Linked DNA regions of Sus scrofa. The protein of the gene in region 3 purifies or fractionates together with the protein of the main gene of each other region. This does not show direct contact. Links are inferred from orthologs where the notes say so. Each region holds a gene or a part of one and is shown on either strand. Other genes may lie near its edges. The genes, in order: H2AFZ, SHQ1 and RUVBL1.

The links.
Region 1: the proteins of RUVBL1 (region 3) and H2AFZ purify together in Homo sapiens (affinity purification with mass spectrometry; 6 studies listed by BioGRID and IntAct, with this or other methods). This does not show direct contact. The link is inferred for Sus scrofa from reciprocal best matches to the Homo sapiens genes RUVBL1 and H2AZ1.
Region 2: the proteins of RUVBL1 (region 3) and SHQ1 purify together in Homo sapiens (affinity purification with mass spectrometry; 3 studies listed by BioGRID and IntAct, counting the BioPlex papers as one, with this or other methods). This does not show direct contact. The link is inferred for Sus scrofa from reciprocal best matches to the Homo sapiens genes RUVBL1 and SHQ1.

Annotation. Positions count from the first base shown.
Region 1 is NC_010450.4:120,562,678-120,566,428, reverse strand, and holds H2AFZ (histone H2A.Z), read right to left. Parts: upstream 2,678-3,751; 5' UTR 2,493-2,677; coding exon 2,490-2,492; intron 2,047-2,489; coding exon 1,969-2,046; intron 1,687-1,968; coding exon 1,573-1,686; intron 1,235-1,572; coding exon 1,105-1,234; intron 828-1,104; coding exon 766-827; 3' UTR 406-765; downstream 1-405. UniProt on the Homo sapiens protein: Variant histone H2A which replaces conventional H2A in a subset of nucleosomes. Nucleosomes wrap and compact DNA into chromatin, limiting DNA accessibility to the cellular machineries which require DNA as a template.
Region 2 is NC_010455.5:54,139,243-54,142,893, reverse strand, and holds part of SHQ1 (protein SHQ1 homolog), read left to right. Parts: intron 1-1,304; coding exon 1,305-1,358; intron 1,359-3,582; coding exon 3,583-3,651. UniProt on the Homo sapiens protein: Required for the quantitative accumulation of H/ACA ribonucleoproteins (RNPs), including telomerase, probably through the stabilization of DKC1, from the time of its synthesis until its association with NOP10, NHP2, and NAF1 at the nascent H/ACA RNA.
Region 3 is NC_010455.5:72,238,379-72,242,029, forward strand, and holds part of RUVBL1 (ruvB-like 1), read left to right. Parts: intron 1-2,487; coding exon 2,488-2,590; intron 2,591-3,651. UniProt on the Homo sapiens protein: Possesses single-stranded DNA-stimulated ATPase and ATP-dependent DNA helicase (3' to 5') activity; hexamerization is thought to be critical for ATP hydrolysis and adjacent subunits in the ring-like structure contribute to the ATPase activity.

The DNA.
Region 1 (3,751 bases), on a different chromosome or scaffold from region 3:
AAACACTTCACTGTTTATACTGAAAGTACCTTCTGTGGAGGTAGCAATATACAGAACTTCCCTACCTGCCCCAGTCCATGACAGTGCTCTGGATGTAGTGCTGCTGTCACAAACAGCAAGTGCAGCGACAAATTGAGATGATCAAATTTAACCTAAAAAACATCACCTTGTCCAGTTCCAAGCTCCTACTGAAGTTTTAAAATCTTTAATAGTTCATCTCATAGCATTAAAAAATATATATATGCTTTAGCCTTCGAGGTTTGTTGATCTACAAAATTAACATTTTAATTTCAAGGTAAGAAACGTGCTTATTAAGTTATTGCTGGATAAGATAGTTATTCAAAACAAAAGTTGTTCCCATCATAATCAAGTGAATTTAATACACAACTAGTTTGGGATATGACCTTTATTGAGCTTATCCACCGAAGTGGAAATAATGTCTGTACAAAACCAAATGTTTGTTACTATAACTTCTGCATCACAATTAAAATCCAAACAGTTTTTTAAAAACAGTCAACTCAATCAAAACCCACTACTTCAGAATCAATAGCTTCTTTGAAGCCACAGTAACACTTAAATATGGTTAAGACTCGAATGCAGAAATTTGGTTGGTTGGAAAGCTAATTAAACTTCCAACTTGCTCAAATAGAATTACAAAAAGGCAAAATTGTGTTTTTCACAGAGATACAGTCCATTGGAATCACCAACACTGGACAGCTGTTAGAGTATTTAGAGTCCTGAGATAATAAGGAATCCAGGCATCCTTTAGACAGTCTTCTGTTGTCCTTTCTTCCCAATGAGAGATTTGTGGATGTGTGGAATGACACCTAGGGGAGGAAAGGGATACTTTTAAATATACATTATTTTGAAAATTAACACAGGACTTCAAAACCATGACAGTTTAACGTTCAACTTCGAAGAAGTCTTTAAATGTGAGGCCAGAGTATGCAGAAGTAAAAATTCACTAAGTTATATACAGGAATCAATTTTCATGATGCAACCATACTACAGATCACTGAAAATAACACTAAGTGTCCTCTTCTAGTGGGGGAAAAAAGTAAAGAATTATCTAAAGAAATTAAAAAATTTTTAGTATTTACATACCACCACCAGCGATTGTAGCCTTGATGAGAGAATCCAATTCTTCATCTCCACGAATAGCAAGTTGCAAGTGACGAGGAGTAATACGCTTTACCTTCAAGTCTTTTGATGCATTTCCTGCCAATTCAAGTACCTAGAAGACAGAATCTAATCAATCTCCTGCCAACTTTCCTTAGGATCAAGATCCAGAAGAATCAAACCTTCGTGAACGTGTATCTACCAACTGCCGTCTCCCCCCACTACCTGAATGGCAAGATATGCAAAAGCTATAAAGGGGACACGCAATTTTATTTCCTAAAGCAGTCAACTCAAGCTCAGGAGGAACCCAAAATGAACACCAGCCCCCTCTAGCGTTGTCAGAAGCTTCTCACCGCGTTCAGAGCCTGGGAGTTTTCTTGCATCACTTTCCTCCTTCCCTCTCACCGCCTCCCCCCACCACCTTTTCCAGATTACAGGCGTACACCCATTTACCTCTGCGGTGAGGTACTCCAGGATGGCTGCGCTGTACACAGCGGCAGTCGCGCCCACACGTCCATGGCTGGTCGTCCTAGATTTCAGGTGTCGATGAATACGGCCCACCGGAAACTTCATTTTTCGCATACACAAACACAAATGCACAAAGATAGAGGAGCCAAAAATGGTCAAATTATACGCGCGCCAAAGCAAGGGGCACGGAGGCTGATGCAGCAACGCGCCCTAGCATCGCCACACGTGATCGCCCCCCCTTCCCCAATATTTATTGTATCGGTAAACCAAGTCCCGACACCATCACCACGCAAAGACCAAAAGCTCATCTAGTGCAATGATAAACAGAGAAAAAGGAGAGAAAAACGCCGCGATTCCCAGACAGCAGAAACCCCCACTGACCTGCAAACCGGCTCTCTGCGAGCGGGAAACCGCCTTTGTCTTGGCCTTTCCGGAGTCCTTCCCAGCCTTACCGCCAGCCTGCGGCGCGCACACGCCCGCGAGCGAAGAAGGAACGCAGAATACAGGATTACCAAGGCGGCGCGCCCCTCCCCCACCGCGGGGCGGCCCGGGCGCGAGCGGGGCCCGGTGCCCAGCCGGGGTCTCCGGCCCGCCGCGCGCCGCAAGGGCGACCCCGCCCGCCTGCCCCCCGCTGCGCGCCCGCCGCGGCCGCGCGCTTCAGGCCGCCCGCTCACCGCCCTCCGGCTCCCAGCGGCGCTGCGCGCGCCACCCAACCGTCGCCGCCCGCCGCGAGATCGGAGGCTGCTCCGCTCGCCGCCGACAAAACACCTCCCCCCGCTCTTCCACATCCTCTCTCCGCGCGTTCCCAACCGTCACCGCTTCACCCCCATCTCCGTGTGTAACGGGTTTTTCTCCTGCCGGCAAAAACCCGCGTAGTCTTCGAGCGCCTCCGCGAAGTTTACCATTTCGAATTCTGCTGAAGCTCAAACAAGCAAGGCAGAGAAAGGACTAGTCAGTCACCAAGCGAGATCCCGCCGCCTACTCCTCCGTCGCACCGCGATTCAAACTGCGCTGTCTCCCGCCTTCCCCGCTCCCTTTATACTGCAGAATGTTCCCTCATCCGGGAACTCGGATTGCTCATCCCACCAATGGCTGCCACCCGCCCTCGGGCCGCGTCCTTGAAGTCTCAGCCAATGAGCAAGCGAAGAAAAGGGCGGAGGGGCGGGCGCTTTGCAGCTCGAGCTGTTATTGGGGCATGAGAAGGAGGTGGGGGAGAACGGAGGGATGGGAACCCGGGAGAAGAAGGGCACAGCGGCGGGAGGGAAGAAACAGAGCGAGCTACGCTGCTTGAGCAGGGCACCCGCCGGCTTAGTCACGTGCCTGGAGGGAGGAGCTGAGAGGCTCAGGGGAGGGGCACGCAGTAGCTGCCCCCTATTCCACCTTTGCCTCCTTGCTCGGTTCCAGAGACCTCGGAAAGCGGGGACTAGCACTCCCTCCTTCCTGCCCTGCCCTCCCTCCGCCTCCGCCCCGTTAGAACACCTGGCGGGCAGAGACCCGCCTGTCCGCAGCCTTCTTCCGGAGCACGGGGTACCTTCACCGACCCCCCTGCATTCCCGTTGACACCTCCGGTCTGACAGGTGGCGCGAAGGCGTCCAGTGAAAGGCGCCCCGACTCCTTCGCTAACCATAGTCTGGGTAGTGATTTCGCGTTTGTTCCTCCTAGGCAAGTGCCCAGCCACCGATTCATCACGACCCTCTGCTCCCACTTTTTCAGCTGTATCTCCTTCCTCTTCTTTTCTCAGGACTTTTTGAACCCCCTACCTCCCCAACCCCAACAGAACAGTTTCATGGAAAAGACGGTGAAGCAAAGTCACCTCGCTGGTCATAAAAGACCTTTTGGTCTACCCACTGAAGGCTTGGGCTGAGGCGGTATTCTTTAATCAAATCATATTTTTCTAAAGACTACACGTCTGTGGGTTGTACCTATAGCCTGGCTTCTAAAGTTGATTTAGTGAAACATGAAGGCTATTATGTGTCAACTCTTCTATGCTAAACATTTTGCTACTTGACAAATGTTCGGTAAATGTCCTCATATGATTCACAGGCAGTTACAGATGGTCCATGTAATCAAATGCAAATGATGGGCTTAAAAAAATAGTACTGTACACACAGTACTATCATAATGCCAGCTACTTAATTTTCCAACTAATAGATTAATAGCACCT
Region 2 (3,651 bases), about 18 Mb from region 3:
ACAAATAATTCATATCATTGTGAAGGAAAATACTCTCAGGAAGAAGATAATTAAAATTACCATCTCTGCCATCAGAAATAACCACTGTTGCAAGGTGATGTTTCTCTTGCAGTCTTCTTTTATGGTACACCTGTTTGCATGTGTATTTACATTGGGTTATAGTATATGCTATTATTTATTTTATTTATTTATTTTCGCTTTTTGGGGCCAAACCTGCAGCATATGGAAGTTCCCAGGTTAGTATATGAATTGGAGCTACAGCCCCTGGCCTTTGCCACAGCCACAGCAATTTGGGACCCGAGCCGTGTCTGTGAACTACACCACAGCTCACAGCAACGCCGGATCCCCAACCCATGGAGCAAGGCCAGGGATCGAACCCTAATCCTCATGGATCCTAGTTGAGTTTGATAACTGCTGAGCCATGGAGGGAACTCCCAGCCATGAAGGGAACTCCCTATGCTATTATTTGACCTGCTTTTCTCACTGAACATGGTAGCATTTGCTTAGTGTTAGGAGAAGGAGTCGATATGTGCCAAATTTTTTGCTGTTAGAATTCTGAAAATTTCAACAGTGATTTTTGAGATTTGCATTTGACTCCAAAATGAATATTAATGAGTATATTGAGGTCATACTGTAACTGAAAAAGGGGTTTTTTTCCACTCATCTTTTTAGGATACCATAGTTGGAGAAAATGTTTTCTTCGACAGAAAAAGTGCTTCATATTGCTTGAGGAGATTGAGAATATGTAGTTATGCTCGATAAAACCTAGCATTTTTTATTTTTACATTCACATATTTAAAATTGTGAAGTCCTGAAACTTCAGGATTGCTCTCTAGAATGTACTTCTTCTCACAGGCATTCTCTGAAAGGCCAAATGCTTGAGCAGCTTTTTAAGTGCCACAGAGAATACTTGAACATTATCTCTCAGTTCTTTGGTAGATTATTTATAAATATCTGGGAGGCAAGTAAAACCTAGTTGGGAAGGACAGAAATTGAGCACGCATTGCTTTGCTTTAGCTTTAAAGCCCTTGCTTATGTGCTCTTGTGTTCTGGTACTCTTATCAGTGTGAAAGCTTTACTTTCTAAAATTCCAAACAGAGTAGGCAGAAACTCGCCTTTGATCACCCTGGCATCATTAAAGTCATTACTTTCCCGCAGTCCTAAATGCTTCTTAGTTCTTATATGATACTAGTTGAATAAGTGGATGTATTTGCTTTGTTGAATAAGTGGATGTATTTGCTTTGTTTTTAAATGACTTTGTCTCTAATGTGACAACCTTATTTGTTTTCTTCAAAACAAATAAGGTTGAATCTGCATGGAATATCAGAAAACTGAGTCCAACGCTGTGCTGGTTTGAGGTATGATTTTCAGTTGTACTTGCTTTGATTCTGTTTGTTCAGAGAGTTAATTTTTGTTGTTATTAGTTTATTTTGGGTCAACCAAGCAATTCCTTGATTTTTAAAAAGTGGTAGCTTTATTGTCCATTTTTTTCTTTCCATCTTTTTAATAAAAATCTGATTCCATTTGTTACTCTTACACTAATCCTAGTATAATAATGAGACCAGTTAGGATATTTTGGAAGTCAGGAAAGGGAGCACAAACTCTGGAGAAGGAATGGGGACAGAGTCTTTTGGGGCAGGATATGGGTGGAGTTTGAGGCATGGAGGTAGGTTGGTATGTATTGAGGTTCAGAGCTCACAGATGGGCAGCAAATCTAGGTGATAATATTCTTAGCTGCAACTTGCCACCAGGGGTTGTGCCAAGCCTTTTAAGTATAGGTGTATATTCCTTCACCTGTTCCCTTCAGTAAGTCTGTGAGATAAATGTTATTGATATTTTACAGATGAGGAAACTTGTATCATATAGCTTAAATAACTTAGCCTAGGTCCTACAATTAGTATGTTTAGATCTGATAACTCTCTAGTATAATAATAATTGTTTTTATAATCTATTTTCCAGAGAATAGTTGTGTAGATCTTACCAAAAATAGCTAAACATAGGCTGGCAGCTACAGCTCAGATTCAGCCCGTAGCCTGGGACCCTCCATATGCCGTGGGTACATTCCTAAAAAAAAAAGAAAAAAACAAAAATAGCTAAGGATGGTATCCGTAAATCTACTAGCTTTGAACACACTGTCGTACATCAAAAAAGAAGCTTCAAAAAAATGCTGATTTCAATAATTGATAATTGCATCATCTATTAAAGGCAACTAGTTTTGTTTCTGTGTGTGTGTGTTTCTAGTTTAAATCTTAGATAGTGTTCATTTTAAGTTGTAAAATCAAAATTGTGTCTGTGGAATCACTTTGTTCAAATAATAGATAAGATGTAAACAGGAACCAAAATAATTAACTTTATCAGAGAATCTTAGCAGAGAATGTATCCTCTTCTGGCAGCTTGTTGGAAAGACAGAATCCCAATCCATACCCCCTGAGTTAGACTAGGTAGCAAGATCTCCAGGAATTCGTATGCATATTTAAGATGGAGAAGTGCTATTCTTTGAACTTCGTGTGGGTTCTGCATATTTCCATGATCAGTAGATTAATGGAGAAACTGGCTTTTGTAATGGTCACTTGATTACTTACACTGAAAACAAAGTAGTTGGTGACTATATAATTTCATAGTTATTAAAATTTACATGAAGAAATTGACCTATTTGACTTTATTTTGAAATTTTTATTGTTTTCGAGGTAACAGAATTGCCAGACATGTTAATAGTTCTATCATACCTTTATTTCACTTCTTGACAGAATTTTTTAAAAGTTCCTTTTTTTTTTTTTTTAGCTATAAACTATTCTTTTTGGGTGCTCGGTATTTGTAATCAGATGATTTATTCGTTAAGGATACCTACATGGAAATACATACATACATGGAAAGGATACATACATGGAAACGATGTTACTCTCAGTTTTAATTTTATATTTTAAGTATTATATATGGGTTACATTTGTTATACATTTTAAATTAAAACCCAATTTAAAAAATTTTGTAAAAATTTATCTTTTTCTAGTGTTTTCAGTAAGTTTTGTGTTGCTAATGGTATCAGTCTGATACCTGTCAAGATAAAGAAATGAGTAGTTTCTCTTTGATAAGTGAAAGCAAATTACTGAAGTAAATGCCAAAAGCTAAAGAAAAAGAGAGAAAAGGAAGAGGGGAACTGTGAACCCCTTCACTCAAGAGTTCTGTATTTTTCATCTACATTATCTTGAATGCTCCTAAAAGACAAAAACATGAAACATAGATCATTTAGAAATGTCTTTTATGTTCATCTGTATTTTGTTAGTGCCATATGTTTTGCATTCAGATTGGTAACTTTTAAAAGACTTTTAAAAACTTTCCTGCTATATATGTGATTTTTAAGGAGCATTTTTGATATGTTGATAAAGTGTGAGAAATTATGACTGAGATAAAAATTATATTGCGAGGTGTAAAGAAAGAGTCTCATTCCATGGCTTTGTATTTGTCTTCCACTTGGCTTGATGATGATCCAGACTTAGTTTTTAATTGAGAATAGTTATGCGTTTGTTGTGTGCTTTTGTTTCGTGTAATATGGAAATGATTACTTATTTAAATGATACTTCACAGACTTGGTCTAATGTTCATGAGATCCTGGTGTCTTTTGGAAGACGAGTTTTGTGCTACCCACTTCACCGC
Region 3 (3,651 bases):
GAGCTATAGCTGCCAGCCTATGCCATAGCCACAGCAACTAAGGATCTGAGCCATGTCTGTGACCTACACCACAGCTCATAGCAACACCAGATCCTTAACCCACTGAGCGAAGCCAGGGATCAAACCCACAACCTCATGGTTACTAGTCAGGTTCGTTACCCACTGGGCCACAATGGGGACTCCACCCAAACAGGACTTTTTAAAAAAGAAACACATGGCCAAAGCAGAATTAAATAACTGGGAGTTCCCGCTGTGGTGCAACTGGATTGGTGGCATCTTGGGAGCACTGGGACCCAGGTTCAATCCCCTGCCCGCATGGTGGGTTAAGAATTGGGTGTCACCACAGCTGTAGTATAGGTCACAACTGATCTGATCCCTGGCTTGGGAACTTCATATGCCATGGGGTGGCCTAAAAAGAAAAAAATTAAATAACTAAAAATTAAATGTAGTTTTTAAAGGATATTTTGTTTAGTATGAAGATTGAAGGTATACCAAATACTCAGATTTGAATCATGATGAAATTTTATCTCTTTAATTCTTCCTTATTATTTTTAGAAATGTTTGTTGGTGAAGATTTGTTTTCTCTAAAGTTATCTTAATATTTGTGTTTGTTATTAGTCTACTTCTCTTTTTATTTGGAAAGGTCTTAGTTATTAATGTTACAATTATTAATGTATAATTTTATTCTTTTTTTGAATTGTTTTTGTTGTGACAAAATGTGTATAACATAGAGTTTGCCACTTTAATTTTTTTTTGTCTTTTTTTTAGGGCCACACATGTGGCATATGGAAGTTCTCAGGCTAGGGGTCAAATCTGAGCTGTAGCTGCCATCCTCCACCACAGCCATAGCAATGCCAGATCCAACCCATGTCTGCGACCTACACCACAGCTCATGGCAATGCCAGATCCTTAACCCACTGAGCGAGGCCAGGGATCCAACTCTCGTCCTCATGGATGCTAATAGGGTACATTACGGCTGAGCCATAATGGGAACTCCCCATTTTAATTATTTTTAAGTGTAAAATTCAGTGGCATTAATCACATTCACAGTGTTGTACAGCCCCATCACCATCATCTGGAAGAGTTTCCAGGACTTTTCCACCATCCCAAACCAGAAGCTTTGTCCCCATTTAAGCAGTAAGTCCCATTTTCCTTTCCCTGAGCCCCTGGCAAACCTCTGATCTACTCTGCCCTGTGCATTTGCCTTTTCTGCATATTTCCTATAGGTGGAATCATGCAGTGTCTGCCTGTCCATGACTGGCTTCTTTCACTTACCATAACCTTTTCAAGGTTCGTACTGTTGTAGCCTGGGTCAGGATAGCATTTTATTTTTGCGATAATAAATACAAGTTTGTACTTGAACTGACTGGATAGAATTTCAACAGATTTCTTTTACCGAAGTTATATTTCTAGAATGTTTACTTACATTTGAAACTGAGTACTCCAATATTAAAAGTTAACCCCAAGTGACCTGCTTTTGTTCTTTGTTATATTGATGAGTTGTGACCATGGACACAAATCAAGTGGGGAGGCCAGAACTGCTGCTCTGGCTCCTGAAGGCAGAAGCTGGAGCCCTGGCTCAGCTCATTGGGCTTCCAGATGTGGTGGAAGCATGGCCTGTGTGCCACTGGGGCCTGCCTGGCACATGTCCCATCCAGAACTGGTGCCATGTGGCCTGGCAGGTTGGCAGGCATCTTCTCCTGGGCTGTTCTCTGGCTTGGCTAAGGATTCAAGAAAAAGCTAGGTAAATGACATGATTGGACAGTTCCTCAAAAGAAATGAAATAACGAATGAATACATGGGAAATATTCAAATGAGTCTTTAGTAATCAAGGAAATACAGATTCAGACAATGTGTTACCTTTCCATTTTCTAAATCTTTAAGCAGCAAACTAAGGATTAGAATACTCACTGTTGACTACAGTGTGGTGGGATCAGCTTACTCGAGTAGCTGCATAAATTAGGACATTGGTTTATTCATTCATTTGTCCAAGAAGATACTCGGGGTTGTGTCAGGCTCCACGAGAGTTGCTAAGGAAATTTTCATGGCTAAATGTATAAAATTATTTATCAAAGCACCATGAATAGTAGCAGTAACAAATGGAAACTGCCCAGATGCCCAGCACTTTGGTGGACACTTGATGGGTTATTAAGAGACTGAAGTAACATGGACAAAGGCATCAACGACAACAAAAGTCTATGTATTTAATGTACTTTATGAAAATTTGGCAAATACCTATATGGATATTTTGAATATGATTTTCAGTAGCTTTTTCTCCTCCTCCCCAAGTGTCCTGTGGTGTTGATATTTGGTAAAATATTGAAGTTGTTTTTGACGCCACCTGAGTTAGTCTGTGCCCTTTGCGGTCCTGCCTCTGACTCTCAGGACAGGAACTAGCTGCTTTGTCATCTTGAGTGCCTCAGCCATGGTTCCAGGGCCTGTTTCCACTCCCAGGCCTGAGTGATGTGGTCTTTCTGGGCTTTGCAGGGGAACGGAGGACATCACCTCTCCTCACGGCATCCCTCTTGACCTCCTGGACCGAGTGATGATCATCCGGACCATGCTGTACACCCCACAGGAGATGAAACAGGTGAGCAGCCTCCCTCCTTCACTCTCAGTGTCCCTGATGCTGAGGAGGAAAGTGCCTGCAGAGTAGCCTTGGCTACCCCACCTCCCACCACAGAGTTGGCTACACAGTAGGTCTCAGTGCTTCGGAGCCTTGGCCCCCATCTGAGCAATGGCTGGGCTTGAAGTGCCTATGGTCTTGGCTGTTCTCGCTTCTATTCTGTCCCTTCTGGTAAACAGGAAATGGACAGTGAGAAAATCAACTTGATGACAGCTATTAGGGAGACCACCAGCTTTAGGAAAGAGGCATTAGAATATCAGATTGTGATAGCCTCCAGCCCAGAGCCTGTCCACAGCCTTTTCTGCCCAGGGGCAAAGCCAGGCATTCTGGTCCACTGGAACCCATGGCAGGTCAGCTCTGGAAGGTACAGAACCTGAATCCTGGCAAAGCCCATCTGCTGTGACAGGGTCACAGTGGAGGGTTTCCTGGGGCTGCTGCTGAAGCCCTAGGGGTGTAGTGAAGCAGCCTCATAGGCGTAGAGGGCAGGTGGAATGGAAGGCATAAAACTAACCTTACAGTAAGAGACGTGAAGGAGGCACACAGCACTTAGCTCAGTGCCCGGCATAGTGCATGCTCAGTTCTGCATGAGTTCAACTTGGGTTGGGCTTCACAGTGGGAGATGACAGGGATGCCTGAGATTGGCCTTATCCCAAGGGGCACAGTCCCAATTCTCCCTGCACACTCACCTCTTGCTTGATCTGGAGATGGAGCAGCAACTGTGCCACACAGTGCCTCAGCACCCTGGGAATCCCCAGTCCCCTTCTGGTGCTTCCAGCCAGTTATTTGCCATTTTAATTGCTGAGTCACTGAGTCTAAGACACAAAGCCAGGTTGTACCCTGCTGAGCCCAGCCATCTGCTCTGCCCACCCTCACCCCAGCACTGTTTTGTTGGGGGACGTAGGTGAGTTCAGCATGTGGCTGAGGCAAGGTGGCCCAGGGCTGCACTGACATCTTGGTGAGCTCTGTCTGACTTTCTCAGGAGTATAGGCTCTCCTGGTTGGACATTGTACTGAGTCATTTGGTCC